Arabidopsis thaliana: one gene and its partners. The protein of the gene in region 3 interacts with the protein of the main gene of each other region in a pairwise test. Each region holds a gene or a part of one and is shown on either strand. Other genes may lie near its edges. The genes, in order: CYC3B, CYCB2;3, CDKB1;2 and KRP6.

Region 1 (6,173 bases), on a different chromosome or scaffold from region 3:
TAAGAAGAGAATAAGTGATCATGTAAACAATAACACTGTTTTTACCATTTTATAGTGAGAAGTTACCGGTTTAGGCGTCCTGATCTTTGTAAATGAATCTCGTGCGCAATCACGGCGGTAGAGGCTATTGCCATACAGAAAATTATAGGTAAGTCGACTTTGAGAAAAGTATCTGAAGCGGTTTTAAGTCGAGCTACAGACTTAGGGATTTCTTGTTTGTTTAGTGGAGGACTATATAAGGAACTGTAGCTGTGATAACTCAACTTAAGGAACTGAAGTGGGTATAGTTGAGAGTTTTTAAGGAGGAAAAGTGTTGGCGTATCTTCGAATTTTAGGATTTGATTGAATTTGTGGAAGATTGAAGAACTTCAAGCCATGGAAATACATACATTGAAGTATACCTGAAGACTAATTTGACGAATAAAATCAAGCATGGAGGAATCAGTAAAAAGGGGATACCAAATGTTACACGGGAGACGTTAATTGTAGATGGAAATGTTTCCATATGAATATAGCATTGCGAAATCAGAACAAACAACATAACAATCCAGCCATGAACAGTGAAATTTATATTAATTAACACTTTTGTATTCGTTTTCCAAGTGCTCCTAGGTACAAAATCCCGCAGGATAGTAAATAGTTGTAGCAATGCGATTAGAAAAATTCCATAACATTTATTTAAAGCTAAGTGGTGTGACAAGTAATGGCCTACAATTAAGGCGCCACACAATAGCTACAGAATTACAGACAGACAAAACTGGCAAAGAGACGACATAACATCCAATGTCTGAAAATAGGTATTTTGATCACCTGACTTGGGCTCTGTTTTCGATGTTGCTTGGTGTCATCTTGAGAATAGTGATGTGACTCGTTTGGGAGATGTCAGCTTTGCCACGCTCTTAAACTATCAAAGTCATACAGAATTAAAACCAGTTCAATCATTCATTCACTTTTCTTCAACAATCAGTAGTTTGATTTAACGGTGTTTTGTAGAGAAATGTACCTTTGGTTGGTTGTATTTCTCACGGGTGGCAGCGAGAGTACAGCCACTGGTGTTGAGCTGCAAGTCCTCCATGGCGAGAACTGTGTTCTTCAGCTCAGCTACCTCATATCTGGTGTAGTGTTGCAGAGTAGGGTTCTATAACCAAACATCATTCTTTTTATCAGCACAAAAAAGAGGCAAACACAAAAACAACCTTTTTCAAGATTCAAGAAACATGAGCTGACCCAAGGATGGTCAGTTTGGTCGAGTGTCCATCGGGCTAGGAAAACAGCTGAAGCAGCAATTAGTGATGGCAGGAACCTTAGGAAACTATATTCCACCAGTGTCAATTCGGCGAGATAGTTTGCTAAATACTCCAGTTCAATGAAAGGCACCTGCAAAATAATTATAAGAAACAACGCACTACATTCAGATTCCAAGTTTCTGTAGAAGTGAGGGTTGATGATAAATGGATCATGGTTTCATACCTTGTACGAAGCTTGAGCTGCTTTAATGAACCGCCTGAAAAAACATTGGTAAGATGAAAACTCAGTGGTACTATTTTTAAACAAAGTTGGAAAGATATGATGATTCATAGTTCTGCCCTTTAGTATTTACCTCAGAAATGTTTTGGTGGTAGGAACCGATAATCTAAAGTGCACAAAATTTAGAATTTGAATCTCCATGCTCAGCACCTGAAACAAAGATTCCAGTTTATATATTTTCATCAAGAATCTGTACACATTAAAGATACCGAGAGATGTGTGATTTGAATGTTAATTACTTCTGGTCTTGTGTATGTGTTGGCCGTAATGAAGCAAAACTCCTCCACCCCTGGTGCGGAAAGCTCTTCATATTTTCTACAAGGTTCAACAAAAATGTATAAGGAAGATAAGCCTTACTTGTTTCTCTACTTAGCAAGTATACATATATATATAGGTTCGCGCTCTCCCAGTGATGGAAATGCTGTTCTCATTGCTATAACCTGAAATTGACAAACACACACAAACAACAAAGTAGGGACTTACGAAGCTATAAGCATGCAAGAGACACCAAGGAGCTGGAGTCTTTGCCTTTCAATGTAACTGTTGGACAGAAACCGGTCGATAAGATTCACTGTAAGGTAAAGCGTATCTGGAACCAGCTTGTAGTCGTCAGAAACCTGAAAATACCACGCACTTCACTATTTTACTCAAAAGTACTCTCAGTTTTTGCTCTAATTTTTGTAAGAAAGCTATGTATAGTAAGGTTTAGTGTCCTATTCAATAAGAAACATAATAAGATGATGCCGTTATTTATATATATGAGCTAAGTTTGAAGGTAACTAACTTCTACAAGCCAGTCAATCAGAATCTTTCTCATGTCTGGGTCGATATCTCGCTGCACAAGCTCCATATAATTAGCCAAGGGTCGTTGTTGAAGCTGCAAGAAAAGAGAGGTTATAACTCCAACAGTCTTCATATAAGTAGTTATATTGAGATTAGTTACAAGAAGTTAACAGTGGAAAGATGTAAAGCAAATATTTGGATCATGTAATTCAATACCTCTGCAACATGTATGTTGTCATATATATCAGCAGCATACAAGCTGCAACACTGTGGATCTTCGACGTTGGAATCAATATCTACAACTTGAAGTAACTCCATGACACCTGATCCATCTTCTTCTGCACAATCCAGTATAAGATACATACCTTAAGTAAGTTTGAGAAATTCATGTTGGTATAGAGTTCACTTGTTTCAACCCTTGACAACACAAATTTAATGGGAATAACTAATTTCAGCATTCTGGAGTCCAATGCTTGATTTAAAGTTAGCGAGTGATCAACATGACCTCGGAAATGAGGAGAAGGTGGTAACTATCATTATTTTCACGAACACTGTAGTTCTTACGTTGCTCAGTAATTTCTTCATCTTTAAAGTTTGAAAGAGAGACATCTTGGGCTTCAGCCATCCTGATCTTGGACAAATCTTCTGCTAATTTTGATTTTTCTGTATGCATATCTACCAGAATATCCATGGCACTGTTAGCACCTTCCTTTGCTGCTTTTTTAGGCTCTTTTAGACATTTTCTGTTTGCCTGCAACGTGATGTCAACAGTAATAAGCCCAAAGGGAAAGTTTGAAGGCTATATTACCAACATAAGATATAAACCAACCAAGACAATGAAAGCGTATCATCTGAAATCTTTACCTTGATGTTGCCTCCCTTTCGAAGTTCTGAATAAATAATATCTGCAGAGGTATTACTCACATCCTTAAGTACTGCACGTCTCTTTTGCTGATAAACCAGAGGCAGGAAATTAGAGAGTTTAGCATCAGCTCTTGAAATTCATGACTTTCTATAAGAACATGTTTCAGTACCTGTTTAAAAGAAGGTTTTGTTGGAGGTATTGATACTCCTCTTCCCATGGCTTTTTTAGCTCGTGATCTCGTTATTCGTACAAAACTCTCCTGTACATCTGAAGTAGAGATATTTTCTTTGTTTGCATTTGGATGCATCGAAGAAGAGCAATACATAATTTAGTCTGGAAAAAGGCCAGTGGTTAAGCCAAGCCTGCAGAACAACAACAGTTCATAATCAAATGTCTATCCTTGCCTCCATCAAAAAGATCAAGCAATGTTCAAATGCAGCATAAATTTCAGGAAGAAACAAGCATATAGTGGCAATTAAAACGATTTCTTCATACTCAAATTTAGCCACAGATCTCAATTCCACACGATTCTAACTATTGAGTAAATGTCAGCTTAAACAAGCAACCCAGCTTATCACAACTAGTTTCTATGTTTCCTTCACATTAATCTGCATCGATAGATCCAATTTTCAAGCTAGTCATTTCCAAATCGAATTAAGCATTGTTCTTCATAGCAAAAATCCTTTAAAAGACCGATTACTTAAACAAACAATGAGCCATAGAGTACACACACGTTTCATAAAATCCAGTCAAACAGATAAGAACGATCTCAACAATTTCAATTTCCCAGTGATTAGCCATGCTTGAAGAACAAATACGCAGAAACCAAATACAAGCGGAAACAACAAAGAGGAATCGATCATCTCAATCGAAGACCAAAAAACATTCGCTAGAGAGATCGATTAGACTAAAATCCAAACTACTATTAGCTCCGATCGATCAAAACGCAGAGCAACAAGCTACGATTCAGAGAATCGGTAATCAAACAGGAAATTGTGAGCAGACGAGAGGTGATGATGATACCTGGCTCAACAAATAGGTTTATGAGTTTGTGAAGGAGCTCTAATGGCGGTAAGAGAAGCTCAAGGAGAGAAGAGAACGCTCCAGAGAGAGAGAGAGTGTTGAAATATGTGTAGGTGGGGGAGAGAGCGGAGAGGAGCGGGGGAAGCGACTGACTGAAAAAGGTACTGTTTGAAATTCGGATTTTTTTGGATATAACAAAAAAAAAAAATCGGAATTTAAAAAATCTTTCTTTGCTTTTTTTGGAAAAATCTTCAATTTCTTTGGTAAAAAATTGTAAGAATGATTTCTATAATTTGGTCCAAGTTACTATACAAGGAATAGTGCAACTGTCTTTTATTACTACACATATGTTGGAGCTGTCAATTAACAAAAAAAAGTTTATATGTTATGGTAATTTGTTTGTTTTTTAAGAACTACACTACTTCGATAGATAGACAAATTATTGGTCGAGAAATTTCCGACAAACATAAAATGGTAATGACTATTATTTTGAAAACAAAAAATATATTTACCTTACGTAAATTACAGTAATTTCTAATTTGGAAACGAAAATACATTAATAGACATTATATTTACATTAAACGATTCTGTACGATATTATCACCGCAATGTATCTACCATCATTCACGTTTTTAATCGTTGATTTACTTAATCAAATTAAAAGATGTTAATTTAAAATTCATGTATCTGGAAAATACGATCCAAATACACATCAACAAGTGCTCGAGTTCAGATCAATTATAAATTTTTGACATTTTTCTAATTATACACATATTTTCCAACTATTTTACCTTAAAATCAATTTAATATATTTGGTCAATAATATTTATATGTTTATTTCTTTAAAGGGATAAAATAAATTTGAAAAGGAAATGGAGGGAGAAAATAACCACATCCATTGCCTTGCATTCTCACAATTATTTCGAAAGATATTTATTCACATATAGAAATTCAAACATTAGTCAAAAAGGCGTTTCTACCAATTTAACAACATTAATTATATGTATTTGGACATATACGAATCACACGCATACACGGATTCTTACTTGCAAAATAATAAATTGTAAATTATCCAAAAAAATAAATGATAAATTGTATATACATCTTTATAAAAAACAAATTAAATACGTGTGGAGAAGGACTAGAAAGACAATTTCTAAGTTGTATGAGGATATATATCAAATATTCTATATGTAACTTCATTTTAAAATAATGGGCCATGTTGATCGATATTTTCAGTTAACAAACAAAAGCCCAAATGGCGCGTAATCGGAGTGTCCTAATTTTCTCGGCGGACACTTAATTCTAATAAACGGCGGCAGAAAATGAACTCTCTGTTCACCGCCTTCCGCCGCAACCTCCTCTTAAACCCTAATCCTCACCGCAACTTCTTTCTTCATAGATTGTTATCATCATCTCGCCGTTCATCCCCGCTCATTCCCGTCGAGCCTCTCATCCAACGGATACAATCACCCGCCGTACCCGATTCTACATGTACTCCACCGCAACAAAACACCGTCTCGAAAACCGATCTCTCTACTATATCGAATCTTCTCGAGAACACTGATGTTGTTCCCGGTTCGAGTCTCGAGTCAGCTTTAGATGAAACCGGAATCGAACCGAGTGTTGAGTTGGTTCACGCGTTGTTCGATCGGTTAAGTTCATCGCCGATGTTGCTTCACTCAGTGTTCAAATGGGCGGAGATGAAACCTGGGTTTACACTTTCTCCTTCACTTTTCGATTCTGTTGTCAATTCTCTATGTAAAGCTCGTGAATTTGAAATTGCTTGGTCGTTGGTTTTTGATCGAGTGAGAAGCGATGAAGGATCGAATTTGGTTTCTGCAGATACGTTCATCGTTTTGATCAGACGGTATGCTCGTGCTGGTATGCAGATTTCTTGTAGCTTCATCAATATTGCTGATACAAAGAGCTAGCTTAGAGTAATAGAAGCATAAAGCTTTTGACTTTAATATAG
Region 2 (5,507 bases), on a different chromosome or scaffold from region 3:
TCGGTTTTTCATTGCTATGTTACAGGATGGTAAGGTATCACAGCTTGAGCATGTCTTCATTCGAGGCAGCAAAGTCAGGTGCTGCAACACTTCTTAGAGAACACTGTAAAACCAAACAAAGGAGAACAAGAGAGATATGTCCAGATGCACTACTAGTTCTGTATTTTGGGTTACCAAGATGTTTGAATCATTGACAAGTTTTCGTTGTGATCTATTTTCTTCTTTGCGCATTCTCCATTTCTGACAGTAGATGAGTAAAACAAAGTACATTGTTTTCATAAAGGTCTTAATAAGACTAAGATCAGAAAACAAAGATAAATTGAAGGAACAAGATTATGAAATACTAGAAGTAATGATTATATCCTCCTTCAATAAAGACTGCAATACTGTAGACTTTGAGTTGTCTAAATAACGTAGTCTATATGGTCATTTATAACATTAATATATAAGCTATAAAAGAATATTGTACTTGTATTTTCATCATGTAAAAACCTTGTCAACTGCAATTTTCCCAAATTACAATCCAAAAAATTGCCATGTACTTGTAGAATATTTGATAGGGTCTAGAGATTCAGTTCCAGAGTACCAAAACGACATGTAGAAGAATATTTGATTCAGTCTAGAGGTTCAGCTCCCGAGTAATATTAACCAAACTGGATCATAGATTTTCCTGAGTCTATACAAGAATCGATTCACAAGTTGAATATAGGAAAGCATGATATCAGAAGATTCTTTTTATTCTCTCTCAAGTGAAGAAAGATCTAAAGACCTTAGAAAGAGAAGAATACACTCTTTTTGGGCTACTTGCCATGATATCTAAAGATCCATTCTTCTCCCATTTTGGGCAACTTGCTCTACTATCTCTCTTTCTCTCACACTCTTTTTGTTCTAAAGAAAAACTCGAGTTAAGTCATATTAGATTCTTATTAATATTAAATCAGAAACCCAGCTGGTTCAGTTCTTGCAGCATGACAGAACTTAGATGTGTTGTACTTTCTGTGAACTCCTGTGAGCTTCCCTGTTCCTGCCTTGTGATGGAAAGCAACCATCTTTCTCGCACATGCCCTAGAAAAAACACAAAAACCCACTGTCAGGATACCAAAATCTCATGTCATGGGGTTTTCAAAAAAATCAATGTATGTTCTTACAGTAGCTGTTTTTCGTTGTAGCCTGTGTGAAACTCACAGGTTTTGCTCCATTCTTCAAATCCCTTAAGTGTACACTGAGCAGTGTAGATTGCTGAGGCCGCCAGCTTAGATGGAAGATACTCTAGCATCTCATACTCCACAAGGCAAAGCTCGATCATAAAGAATGATAAAATCTCAAGCTGAAACCACAATTGCATATACCACACCGATTTAGATATTAGGCCTGATGGTTTCCGGATATAATGATTCAAGCTTTTTTAGTTAGGGAGATATATACCTTCTTGTCAGATTGGGCAGCTTTGAGAAATCGTTTCATGAAAACATATGGAGTTGGTAGAGAGAAATTGAATTGCAAGGTGTTGGCCATTAGCTTCTCCTGCAATAGAAACCAAAAACAGGTAAATTCAACTATGAAGCATCAACCAGTGGTAGTTAATGATCAAGACAAAGTTGTGTATTCACCATATCTAGCACTTCTCTTCTAGAGTAAGCTTTGTCAGAGATCAAGATGAGATCATCTACCACTGGAACTGAAACTTCTTCATATTTACATGCAAGCAACAAAGCAGTAACACCAACAAGCTGAAGCTTTTTCCTCACGATTTGATGAACCGCAAGGAATCTGTCGATGACATTGATTGTGAGATAAAGAGTTTCCTCCATCAGTTCAAACTTGTAGTGCACCTGGACAAGATAATTTTCCAGTCAATTTATCTTCAGGCACATTGAGACAAAAAAAGTGGCATTAAATAGCTTTTGTCTAGATCTGTCTACCTCAATTAACCAGTCAATGAGGATTCCTCTCATTCTCTCATTAAGATCTTGTTGATTGTCCATATAGTTAGGAGGCACGCAACTAAGTTTCTGCAGAATCATAAGAATGAATCAAACATAAGTACAAGATTTTGAAACTACAATCCTTTCGATGATAAAGAACACAAAAGCAAAAGTTGATGTGAAACAAGACAAATTCACCTCAAAATTCTTGTAGAAGGTATGCATATCATGGATATATTCAACCGCAGCCAAAGGATTATTCTTATCACAGGCATCAATATCGATCACAGGCTCTTCTTCTTTGTCTGCATCTTCCATTTCAATCTCCTTCTCCTTTTGAAAGACACAAACAATATGAGTAACTATATTAACACTTCCATAAACAAAGCAAAGAATGGTTAGGAAATATGTATACCATCTGTTCAATCTCCTCCAGCATTGCTTCAGTATGTTGTACAAACATTGGCTCATTAGAGTCACCTCCTTCTTTATCACTTTCATCCACATCAATGATAATCGTCTCTGGTTCTTCACTTGAAACTGAGTCTGGTTTCTTAGTTTCCTAAGAGTTAAAGATCAGAACTTTAAAATCCGGTCTATATCATCATTGCTCTAAATGAAACATACATTGAACAATAGGGTACCTCATCACGGATATGTGGCTTATGATCTGCTAACTGAGCAGCAAACTTCCTGAACCAACAGAGAGTAGTAAAAGTTAAGTAATCAGACAATGTGAGATACTCAAAGTAGACAAGAGTAAAGATCTATGCTTACCTAGTAACTGGTCGATGCACAGGTGGTTTATTACAAATGCCATCTCTTCTGCAAAGTCACAGAAAGAAATAGGGTTCCTATAAGAGTCTAATCAAAGGGAGAAGAAAAAAAAAACACTAATCTTGAATCTGAGGATTAAAGTGAACTTACTCAGAAACTGATCTCTTGTTGACAGCATAAGGGTAAGACGGCGCTTCAGTGATGTTCTTGTTAATAGTACTTAGTGCTCTTCTTGTCGGTCCTGTTGTTGCCGTCGTCTTGATCTTTCCTACTACTCCTCCCCCTACATCAAGTAAATTCAAAATCAATTTGGGGGAAAAATCAAAGAGAACGAAAGTTTTGATTTTTAATAACAAAATCGATCGATTTAGGGTACCTTGGAGACTCATTGATCCGATTAATCCAAGGCTATTTTCATCTGATCTAACCATTTTCTTCTTCTTCGTTATCTGCGGAAGTTATTTATTTTCATTAAATCTCTTCTCTTGAAGAAATCAAATTTCAAAATCGAAACATCCCCCAACTTAAAAGCAGGGGTTTTCAAAATTGAAACTAAAAAAACAGTCTTGACAATCAAAACCCTATAGATCCGGTTTAATAATCTCAATGAAAGACCCAATCAAGAACAACAAAGACCTAAATCTCAAATACCCAGAAGATAACGAAAACCCACGAATTGGTTTTTCAAAAAAATCACCTTTTCACAGTCAATTCAAAGAACCAACGCGAGATTAAGTCGACCCTTGATCATAAATTCTTATGAAACCCAGTGAATCTCCTAAACCCTAATAGTCTTTTATCCCGTTGGATCCAAGTTGATCAAACAAAGGAGAGAAAGAGAGATCTTTTAGTAAAACCCAAAGATTCAACCACGCTCTCTTTCTCTCTAATGGCTTCGGTTTTGAAGATACTTCCCACTCTCTCTCTATCTCTCTTTATAAGGGTAAAGAAAAAAAGAAAAAAAAAAGAGTAAGATTGATTTTGAAGATTAGAAGAGCGTCTATAGTGTATTAGTTTTCTTTAAAATTAACGGCTAGTTCATCTCAGCCGTTGGATCAACGCCACGTGTTCCAGATCGAAAGTTGTCTTCTATTCAACGGTTATAATTGTATATCATCTATGTATAGATTTATTCAAATTCTTTGATTTTTTTTTCTTTTATTCTATTTTGGGGAAGACAACTATTTTTATTTTATTTTTGAAAATTACACCATGAAATAATATTCATTTCTATAAAAACAAATAAAACACTTCTATTTAAAAGAATCAAATATGTCTCCTTTGACCAAAGACCAAGATTCGTTTATATTAATCTCAAGTTAAATGATTTTCTTTTTCAAGCAAGAAATCTCACACAAAGTTTAGATTTTCTTCAAGTGTATCATTAGAATATTATACTACAAGGGCAAAGAAAAAAAGAAAAAATAAAGAATAATAGAGATTTTGAAGACTAGAAGAGCGGATATATTGTCTGTATAATATCTTTAAAATTAACAGCTAGTTGCCTAGTTCATATCAGCTGTTGGATTAATGCCACGTGTTCCAAATCGAAAGTTGCCTTATGTTCAACGGCTATCATTGTTTTTCATCCATGTGTATGTGTACTTATTCAAATTCTTTGGGTTTTTTTTGTTTTCAATAACAAATATCTCGGTAATATTTATTAGGTTAACATGATAACAAAATATTTATATCAATAAATTTATAATTATGTCATGCTAAGTCATTTTGAATCGCAATAAGTTATAACTTATGTGATATATTTATATTTACCGTCTTAACTCATTTATTATATCATATAAAAAAATTAACGAGTTACTATAACGTGCAAAATATGAATTTCATCCAATAAGATTATTATTGTCACTACCTCTAGATAAAGTATTAGTTAACTCGGTAATTTGATTGTTAACCAATTTGAACTGAATCTGAACAAAAACTATCATTGTCGTAATCTTCACAGGTACAGTGGTATGGCAATAAGAATAGTTATATAATATAGAGGTATTATTGTATTTGCCACAAAAATAGTGTAAGATAAACAGTAGAAAAAAATGGACTTAATTTTCGATTCTTCCGAGTAAGAATGATAATACCCTTCCCTTTTTTATTTTGGGAAAGACAACTATTTTTATTTTATTTTCGAAAATTACACTATATAATATACATTTCTATAATAACAAATAAAATACTATTATTTAAAAAATCAAATACATCACCTTTGACCAAAAACCAAGACTCGTTTAAGAAATCAAATACATTTATATTAATCTCAAGTTAAATGATTTTCTTTTTCGAGTAAGAAATCTCACACAAAGTTTAGACCTTCTTCAAGTGTATCATTAGAATATCGTACTATATTTTTATGGGAAAAAGATATATAGAGTTGTTTACATGATAATGGCATTGATATACTGCATTTACTATCAATCACTTTTAAATCAATCAAGTCATTTGTGTAGAAGTGTGAACATTGCGTTTCTATGTAGAAACACAACAATAGCATTTTGTTTCCATTGATATAGATACATTAAATAAATATGATATGCCATTAGGTTAAGTTTGAGATCATTCTATAAGTTCTTGTTTCAGATTTTTGTTATTGGCATTTAAATTGACATGTATATCTTTTAGGTTGCATAAGTTCTCAGTCTCTTGTAATTAATATCCGTTTAATGAATACAACTGTTTTTTTTTCCATTACAGGTTGGCCCAAAACTTACCCACCAGACTAGAGCCCATTAGTATCTTAGATAATAGATATATTAGGCTTGGTGGGCCTGTGGCACAAAAATGTATTGGACT
Region 3 (4,097 bases):
AAGTAGACTCATCATCCACTCTTCAAATCAAGAAACCTCATGGTCTGATTTTGTTTTGCTATTGAGACATTGTCGTGATTTTGGTTGTTGATGTAGCGGGGTCGATTAACATAAGCAATATCTTGACTGGTAAATGCTTAGCTAAGATAAAAGCAAATAATGGTCCTCCTAAGGAAGAGGACTGCAGCAGTAGTGATTTGGGGAATTCCTCTCGAAGGAGAAGTGCGGTTGCTGAGGCTTTGGAAGACATAACCGCTCTCTTCTACGACGAAGAACGGAATGAAATATACACAGGAAACAGACACGGCCTCCTCCATGTCTGGTCTAATTGAAGCTACTCATCATTTGTTTTGTTTTTTTTACATTAATACAAGAGATCTCTGTATCTTGTTCTGTTTCTCAATTGTGTAATATCATGAGATATGTAATTTACTTGTGTGTTTGAGTAGCAATTGTCGTTGTAATGAAACAGCAAATATTTCAAATTCGTCTCTCATTTATGTACACTAATGATTTGTCTGCTTAATAGGGTTAACCATTTTTGCTTTGATAGACTTGTTTACATGAACAAATAAAATTGGCCACTTAAAGAAGATTCTCTCACTCTCGCTGAACAAACAAGGTTTTCAGATTGTTTAGTTTAAGTACAAATCTTTCTAAAGCACACAGCATAAGACACCAAGACAATAAACTTGAGCCATCAGCTTCAGAACTCCAAAGAGAAGCCTGATCAGTAATTTGGCAGAGGTCAGAACTGAGATTTGTCAAGGCTGTCAAAGTAGGGATGATCGAGAGCTGCTTTTGCTGAAATTCTTTCTGCTGGATTGTACTTCAACATTTGCTGCAATTGTTCAAAGGTTCAAAACAAATTATCATCAACTAGGAACGAACCCCAACAGAAAGAATCTACTAAAGAGATCAAGTATGCAAGAGAATCTTAGGCCACTTCTCCAACAATGGTCATATTTTAGAAAAGAGCATTACCGTGAGAAGATCAATTCCTTCAGGAGATAGAGATGGAACAGCACGTGATAAGTCTTGCGGCTCCCACTTTGGATAGACATGCCAGTCACGCAATGCCATTACACCCGGCCATTGCTGCTCAGTTGGTGTTCCTAACAATCTCCAGAACCCAAAACAAAACCATACTTCAGATATATTGATACTAGACAGTCCCCATAATCCAAATGAGTTCACGAGTACTGAACCTAATGGGCTAAAGTCCTAAACTGGTTCCTGTATACATACACATTGGCATCAAAAACAAGAAGCAAATACCTGAAAATATGAAGTAGTTGCTGAAACTCAGAATCACCAGGGAAAAGAGCTTGCCTCCTAATCATCTCGGCTACAAAAAAATGGGGAAACATCAGTAATCCAAACAGTAGAACAAAAGACCATTAAAAGAGACATAGTAGCTGATTACTAACCAAAGATGCATCCAACAGACCAAATATCAACAGCAGTAGAGTAATGAGTAGAACCAAGCAAAACTTCAGGAGCTCTATACCAAAGAGTAACAATCTCATGTGTATAAGCCTTAAGAGGCACAGTAAAAGCACGACTAAGACCCAAATCAGCAATCTTAAGAATCCCTTTATCCTTATCCAATAGAAGATTCTGCGGTTTAAGATCACGGTGAAGCACACCATGGCTATGACAATGAGCCACACCTTTAAAAAGCTGAAACATAAACCTCTGCACAAGAGAAGCCTCAAGCGGTCTAGGATTCGAGCCCTTTCTATGAGAATCTATAAATTTCTTGAGATCAGTGTCGAGATACTCAAAAACGAGATAGAGATTGGATTTGGGAGAGTGAGAAACAGTCGAATCTTTCGATTGAATAACATGTTCGACGCAGAGGAGACGAACGATGTAGATTGATTGAGAAAGCATTTGGAGAAGAGAGATCTCACGGAGAGCCGTTGGTGGTATACCTTCTTCGTCCATTTCGAGCCTAGTTTTCTTCAGAGCGACGAGTTTTCCGGTGGTTTTCTCCATTGCTTTGTAGACTTTTCCATAGGTTCCTTCACCGACCTTTTCGAGCTTCTCGTATTTCTCCATTGATGGAGGATTTTGAATTGAGACTGATGAATGTTTTTTGTTTGGGTCTTATAAACCCTAAAGCCCCTTTTCGATTTTAGATCTGGTAAATAAAGGCGCCTCTTTGCTATAACGTTTAACATTTGAATCCCTCGCACGCTTCACACGTACCAATAATATTTTATTAGTCAAAGACTCAAAGTCATTTTAAACAGATAAGTATAGTATAAGATATTTGCTTGATTATGTTTATAGATTTCAATTCATTATCCATGGTGAATGTTTAGTTGAATGAATCTATGCATGATCTTTGATGTAAAGCCGGCCCTGAGTACAAAAAGCTAAGCTCATGCTTGCAGCCACAACCCATAATAAAGATTTTTCAGTCATTTATTTTGCTAAACTATTAATATTACTTGAAGAGTCGATCATTTCGCATTAATTGGTTGAAACTTCGAGCTTTTCCAACTTCATTTTAACTTTAATCTAGTATTTAACATACTAATTAATAAGACTATAACTGTTTTAGCTTGTATCCCATTAGTTTTCTCCTTATACGTTAATGTTCAATGTTTGGCACAAACTCAAAAAAAGAATTTCTTACTACGTAGTTTTTTTTCACTTACTCAACCAATTGGAAAAATGTTTAGGTTTGATTTTTTGTGTTCGAATTTGTAACTTCAATTATTTTGGGACTGTGAACTCTTACTCATTATTCATTAATGGTGGGTTGTTTCTTGTGTTCTAGGCTTCTAGTATACATGATTCAACTTCATATGATATTGATTCAGTTTCACATTTTTGATTTATTTCAACTTTATATTCTTCTTACACTCATTCCAATTTCATGTATGGTAATTGCATCAGTTTTGATCGATAGTTACATTAAGAAAACCATTTCTTTTTACAATAAAGATACTACAACAACAACAAAAATTCTGACTAGGTCTACGAATGTGCAAGGTATGCAATTTCACAAACTCATAAAAATCATCATAAGAAGTTCTATGTAAAGGGGAAAGAAAAACAAGATTATAAACAAATTGTGTGTTTCATGTGGAAACTAAACAATGGCTGAATATTAAAAAATTATTGGACTACTATACATAAAAGAAAATTACAATAATGAAAAAGAAAACAAAGATAATATTCAATGATAGGGCATTGACTAAACGAAAGAAAATGGCTTAAAGACTTTAAAGTTGATTATGAAAAACCGTTACTGATTTACTAGGGTCAATAAACTTATTTGCAACCATTTTATTAAGGGAATTTAATGAAAAAAACCGTCAGCTTTGGTCAGATCTATTTTTAAATTCTGAACTATGTTTTTAGTAAAACAAACTCTGAACTAAAACCTGTTAATAAACTTAACCCCATAGTAATTAAATATTAATGGGATATTAATTTCCAAAAATCGACCAAAGAACAATGACAGAATCCGTGATCCAACTGAAGATCGTCCACCTCAAAAAGTTCTTTATACACGTGAAAAAGTTTAAATGGTAAAATAGAGAACAATGAATTATGTTTCACAAGATCTTCATTTTCAAATTATTAAATTTAATCTTTGCATATTTAGACTTGCAGCAATTGTCAACAAGTCGGACACAACAAACGTTCATGCAAGTGTAAAGCAATGCCAAAACCACCCAAGAAACCTCAAGGACGACCAAGGAAAAAACAGAAAACAATGGATGAAGAGAACCCTATCACTCAGCCAATACAATCTTCTCTTCAAAGTTAATGCTTGACAAGTCTTTACTTTAGAATATCTTGTCCATCTGAAACGATTGTTTTTTTTTTGTGACAAATATTGTTGTGTTGCAACAGCTTCGATAGTTATGTTGGTTGGATTTATTTAAGCATGACTCTTTGGATTATTTTAAGTTATTGTGTCTTTCTTTCAGCTTTTAAAATCCAAACTAATTAAGCAATTCAAAATTATTTAGAATGTTTTTTTGTAATAAATTCAAAACAGTTTTAAAGAACATCACGTGGTTTTTGCGCTAAATACAAATGTCTCATTGTTTTCTTTTTAAAAAATTAATATC
Region 4 (3,980 bases), on a different chromosome or scaffold from region 3:
AATCACTTTTTTTCTTTTTATATCTAAGTATTGCAATCAAAATTTTCTTGGCAGTCAAAATTATTTTAATCTTGACATAGAGTTTTCTACATAGTAAAAAATTATCTTAACATACAAATTAATAGTAGGAAGTGACATAGAAACTATCTTAACATACAAAATCAACTTATCTTTACATTTTTCTAACTAGCTAATCAACAATGTAACAAAAAAATATTTGATTATTGATTGATAGTGTTATTATATATTCATACAAATGAGAAAAGATTTGAAATGATAGGCGAAATTTTTATTGAAAAGTTCTATCAATTTTTTTAAAAGTTTAGGACGACCCTATTCAGGACTATATATGATCATATGGATTACAATGGTCACTGAATAAATTATTTTGAATTATATCATTCCCTCTTGATTTGTCTTAATAATTCCTAAATAAATGCCTAGGTCAGCGAATTCGTTGTTGCATCAGTCACTTAATTATTACTCGATGATTCCTTTTATTACTAAAATTTATTGAAAATGGTCCCATTTATTGGAAGAATAAAGAAGTAGTTACACTAAAATTTAATTATAGTATATGCTTAAATTTGTAAACCGTTCTGGCCATTTTGTATATATATATACATATATGGGCTCTTTAAGACGAGAATTGAGTTTAGTTGTTTACAATTGGTTTTAACTGTACGGACAGTTTAGTTGAGCTTTAATGGCTCATTCTCTATGGTGCTATATTATGGTTTTAACACATGTACATTATTTCATAATACATATGTCATTAAAATGACATAGAGGACAAAATCTGTTGTTGATGTGTATCTGATCAGTGGAAGAAACTTACACATGCATGGAAACTTTCAAAAAGACAACTAAGCATAAACAAGAGATTAATTAGACTTAAGCTGAGTTAGTCTCTATATGACATAATTGATGTTTCTACTAAGCAAACCCCAAACTGTTATTCCCTTTCCAGATTCAAGCATTATTTGATTCGTCATTGATTTCATGGTCTTGGTGATGATACGAACCAAAAAGTTGTATAATTGGTTTATAAGATGTAGGTTCTTACAAAATTGACTATGTAACAAAATTATAGTATTGTTTTAAACGTAAATTAACGAGGCGCTTCTAGACATGTTCCGACAAACATATATAATAGTACAGATGATTTTATAGAATGTAGTTAATCGATGTATCTTCTGCTATAGGTATCTCTAATTTATTGTTCCGACCACCACAATTCTTTTCTAAGTATTTTATAAATTGGTTAACCATGTATCTTCTGTTGTGTAATTATAGCTAGTATCTTCATTTGAAATATTGTAAGGAATAGTTTGTCTAATTGCTTATGATATTTGACCATCTAAGTAAGTTTATGAACTAATTGTTTTTCAAAAAAGGTTGATTAACCTTAATTACGTGATAGTTTTAACATTAAAAGATTTCAACACTATGTTCTGGATGTTAACATATCCATCTCAAAACCATGATAAAACGCGTACAATGGAAGGGATCAAGCTAATTTGACAAATCTCTATTCACACCTCAACCATTCATATATATACCCTCGATATATGTCACATCATTGGTTTTAGCTTTTAATTGATTCTCATAAAATATAAAACCCAATTACGAGAAAAGACTTGTTCGATGGTTCTCATAGACCCTGACCAAATAAGACTTGTTCCTAAACAAATCGAATTAAATAGAGTTGTGGTTTACTCATACTTTAAATCGTTTTAAGAAAAAATAATGACTACTGTTACGTTGCTACTACGTCATAACTACCGAAAATGATTGCGTTTTCAATTGCTTTGAAAGGAAGCCAAAAAGGCAAAAACGGCAAAAAGGGAGAGAAAACGCGTTTGGGAATCTCAACGGCGTTTGTGTAAGAAAATAAAAGCGAAACTCCGTAACGGCGCCGTTATATACCATAACCTCCGTCCGCTCACCAAGGAAAATAAAATCTCAACCGTTGAAATAATCAACGGCTCATGATTCATTCTCTCTCCTTCCCCACCAAAATCTCCTCTGCTTTGTTAAGAAGCGAACCAGAAATAGAAAGAAAAAAAAGCAGAGAGAGAGAGCACACAAAAATCCAAGAGAGAAAAAAATGAGCGAGAGAAAGCGAGAGCTTGCAGAAGAAGCTTCAAGCACAAGCTTCTCACCACTGAAGAAAACGAAGCTTAATGATTCTTCTGATTCATCACCGGACTCTCATGACGTCATCGTCTTCGCGGTTTCATCTTCTTCCGTTGCTTCGTCGGCGGCTTTAGCGTCTGATGAATGTTCCGTTACCATCGGTGGAGAAGAAAGTGATCAGTCCTCGAGTATCAGCTCCGGTTGTTTCACCAGTGAATCGAAAGAAATCGCGAAGAACAGTTCGTCGTTTGGTGTAGATCTGGAGGTGAATTTTCAAAATCAAATAACTCCTCTCTACTTGAATCGATTTAATCAGACGATTTTCTCAGTTTTCGTTTTGATTTTTTATTTCCGTTTCTGTGTTTCAGGATCATCAAATCGAAACCGAAACCGAAACCTCAACATTCATCACCAGCAATTTCAGGTTCATAATCTTTTTGTTTCCCCCCCCCCCCAAATTAGACGTTCAATCGATTTTATTCTCCTTGGCGATTTTTTCTCTGTTTTTTATGGCAGAAAAGAGACGAGTCCAGTGAGTGAGGGTTTGGGAGAAACGACAACAGAAATGGAATCATCATCGGCAACGAAGAGAAAACAACCGGGGGTGAGGAAGACTCCAACGGCGGCGGAGATTGAGGATTTGTTCTCGGAGCTAGAGAGTCAAGACGATAAGAAGAAGCAATTCATAGAAAAGTGAGTCCATTTTTACAATTTCATCATCTCTCTCACGTGTGTTCTTGTTGTTGTTGTGTGCGCTTTGCTTTTTGGGGTTTGGGAAAAATTGGAGTGAGTCCGTACCTAGAGAGAGAGAGAGAGGAATGTGAGTAAAAATGTCTGCGTGCGCATGATAAAAAGATTAACCGACGCGTAGTTTAGCAAATATCCTAAAAAGAGAGAGAATCAGAATCCTAACGAACACACACACTTTGGCACAGGTACAACTTCGATATTGTCAATGACGAACCGCTTGAAGGTCGCTACAAGTGGGATCGACTTTAAGCCATCAAAAAGCAAATACCATCCATGAAGAAGACAAAAGAAAAATAGGTTTTGTTTTTCGTGGTTAACATTTCCACTTGTACAGCTCTAGTCTATTTCTCTTTAAAAACCTATGTTACTAGTTCGTACAAAACAAAACAAAAAACACGACCTTTATAATGAAATTTCGGATCTTGGCTACTAATTACGGTGATTTCGTTGGTTTGTTATGTTTCTGTTTTAAAATCAAAAATGGTTTTGGCAGAGTTTTAAGTGCATGAATATAGAAAGGTGCTTCTTGTTTGGATTCTTTTAAAACATTGGATGCTTAATTATTACAATTATTTTATCTTACTCAAAACTATTATTTTTTGTTTGTCTCATGTCATTCTTATTCTTACACTTGCAGTTTATGTTATATTTAAATGTTTCATGTCATATAGTACCCAATTTACAAAAATATCTGAAACCAAAAATTGATGTTTTAAAAAAAAAATTGGAGAAAAGAGGAAAGGTACATGACATGACGGCACAGTAATACAGTTGGTTTGTACTTCTCTAAAAACTGCGATCATACAAAATACAAATATTATATTTTTTCTATTTTTTTCACTAATATTCTTTTATTTTATTTTGGAATATTCCTCTATTTTGGCACTAAACACAGGGTCCACTTAGTTAAAACCATTTTGGCCTTCATTAGATAAAACCAAAAAGCGGCCTATGCGGAGTAGTAATTTATCCTAATGAAGTGTGTTACTGTAACAAAATATCATCAATGAGTGATACTATATAAAAACGATTACATAGGATATATTTACGTGGATTAGCTTTTTGGTAACGCATTAAAAAAGGTTAATCTC

The links.
Region 1: the proteins of CDKB1;2 (region 3) and CYC3B interact in a two-hybrid assay, tested with the Arabidopsis thaliana proteins (one large-scale study listed by BioGRID).
Region 2: the proteins of CDKB1;2 (region 3) and CYCB2;3 interact in a protein complementation assay, tested with the Arabidopsis thaliana proteins (one large-scale study listed by BioGRID).
Region 4: the proteins of CDKB1;2 (region 3) and KRP6 interact in a protein complementation assay, tested with the Arabidopsis thaliana proteins (one large-scale study listed by BioGRID).

What each region holds. Positions count from the first base shown.
Region 1 is NC_003076.8:3,600,967-3,607,139, forward strand, and holds CYC3B (mitotic-like cyclin 3B from Arabidopsi), read right to left. Parts: upstream 4,385-6,173; 5' UTR 4,199-4,384; intron 3,538-4,198; 5' UTR 3,501-3,537; coding exon 3,345-3,500; intron 3,262-3,344; coding exon 3,175-3,261; intron 3,062-3,174; coding exon 2,875-3,061; intron 2,649-2,874; coding exon 2,527-2,648; intron 2,405-2,526; coding exon 2,312-2,404; intron 2,145-2,311; coding exon 2,011-2,144; intron 1,843-2,010; coding exon 1,767-1,842; intron 1,678-1,766; coding exon 1,601-1,677; intron 1,505-1,600; coding exon 1,471-1,504; intron 1,378-1,470; coding exon 1,228-1,377; coding exon of another isoform or gene 1,139-1,227; coding exon 1,004-1,138; intron 905-1,003; coding exon 845-904; 3' UTR 547-844; downstream 1-546. Other genes in the region: AT5G11310 (Pentatricopeptide repeat (PPR) superfamily protein), read left to right, coding at 5,524-6,082.
Region 2 is NC_003070.9:7,134,141-7,139,647, forward strand, and holds CYCB2;3 (Cyclin B2;3), read right to left. Parts: upstream 3,689-5,507; 5' UTR 3,400-3,688; intron 3,152-3,399; 5' UTR 3,134-3,151; coding exon 3,079-3,133; intron 2,986-3,078; coding exon 2,853-2,985; intron 2,751-2,852; coding exon 2,703-2,750; intron 2,619-2,702; coding exon 2,570-2,618; intron 2,488-2,569; coding exon 2,341-2,487; intron 2,259-2,340; coding exon 2,124-2,258; intron 2,013-2,123; coding exon 1,923-2,012; intron 1,833-1,922; coding exon 1,611-1,832; intron 1,525-1,610; coding exon 1,426-1,524; intron 1,328-1,425; coding exon 1,149-1,327; intron 1,066-1,148; coding exon 933-1,065; 3' UTR 519-932; downstream 1-518. Other genes in the region: AT1G20600 (AP2/B3-like transcriptional factor family protein), read left to right, coding at 26-97.
Region 3 is NC_003071.7:16,150,518-16,154,614, reverse strand, and holds CDKB1;2 (cyclin-dependent kinase B1;2), read right to left. Parts: upstream 2,143-4,097; 5' UTR 2,065-2,142; coding exon 1,431-2,064; intron 1,349-1,430; coding exon 1,279-1,348; coding exon of another isoform or gene 1,209-1,278; exon of another isoform or gene 1,124-1,208; coding exon 985-1,123; exon of another isoform or gene 842-984; coding exon 749-841; 3' UTR 529-748; downstream 1-528. Other genes in the region: AT2G38630 (Transducin/WD40 repeat-like superfamily protein), read left to right, coding at 97-332. UniProt on the Arabidopsis thaliana protein: Together with CDKB1-1, promotes both the last division in the stomatal cell lineage as well as the number of stomata.
Region 4 is NC_003074.8:6,615,786-6,619,765, reverse strand, and holds KRP6 (KIP-related protein 6), read left to right. Parts: upstream 1-1,814; 5' UTR 1,815-2,110; coding exon 2,111-2,404; intron 2,405-2,507; coding exon 2,508-2,563; coding exon of another isoform or gene 2,564-2,655; coding exon 2,656-2,832; coding exon of another isoform or gene 2,833-2,836; exon of another isoform or gene 2,837-3,074; coding exon 3,075-3,138; 3' UTR 3,139-3,436; downstream 3,437-3,980. UniProt on the Arabidopsis thaliana protein: Binds and inhibits CYCD2-1/CDKA-1 complex kinase activity. Regulates cell division which is crucial for plant growth, development and morphogenesis. May inhibit CDK kinases specifically involved in the G1/S phase transition.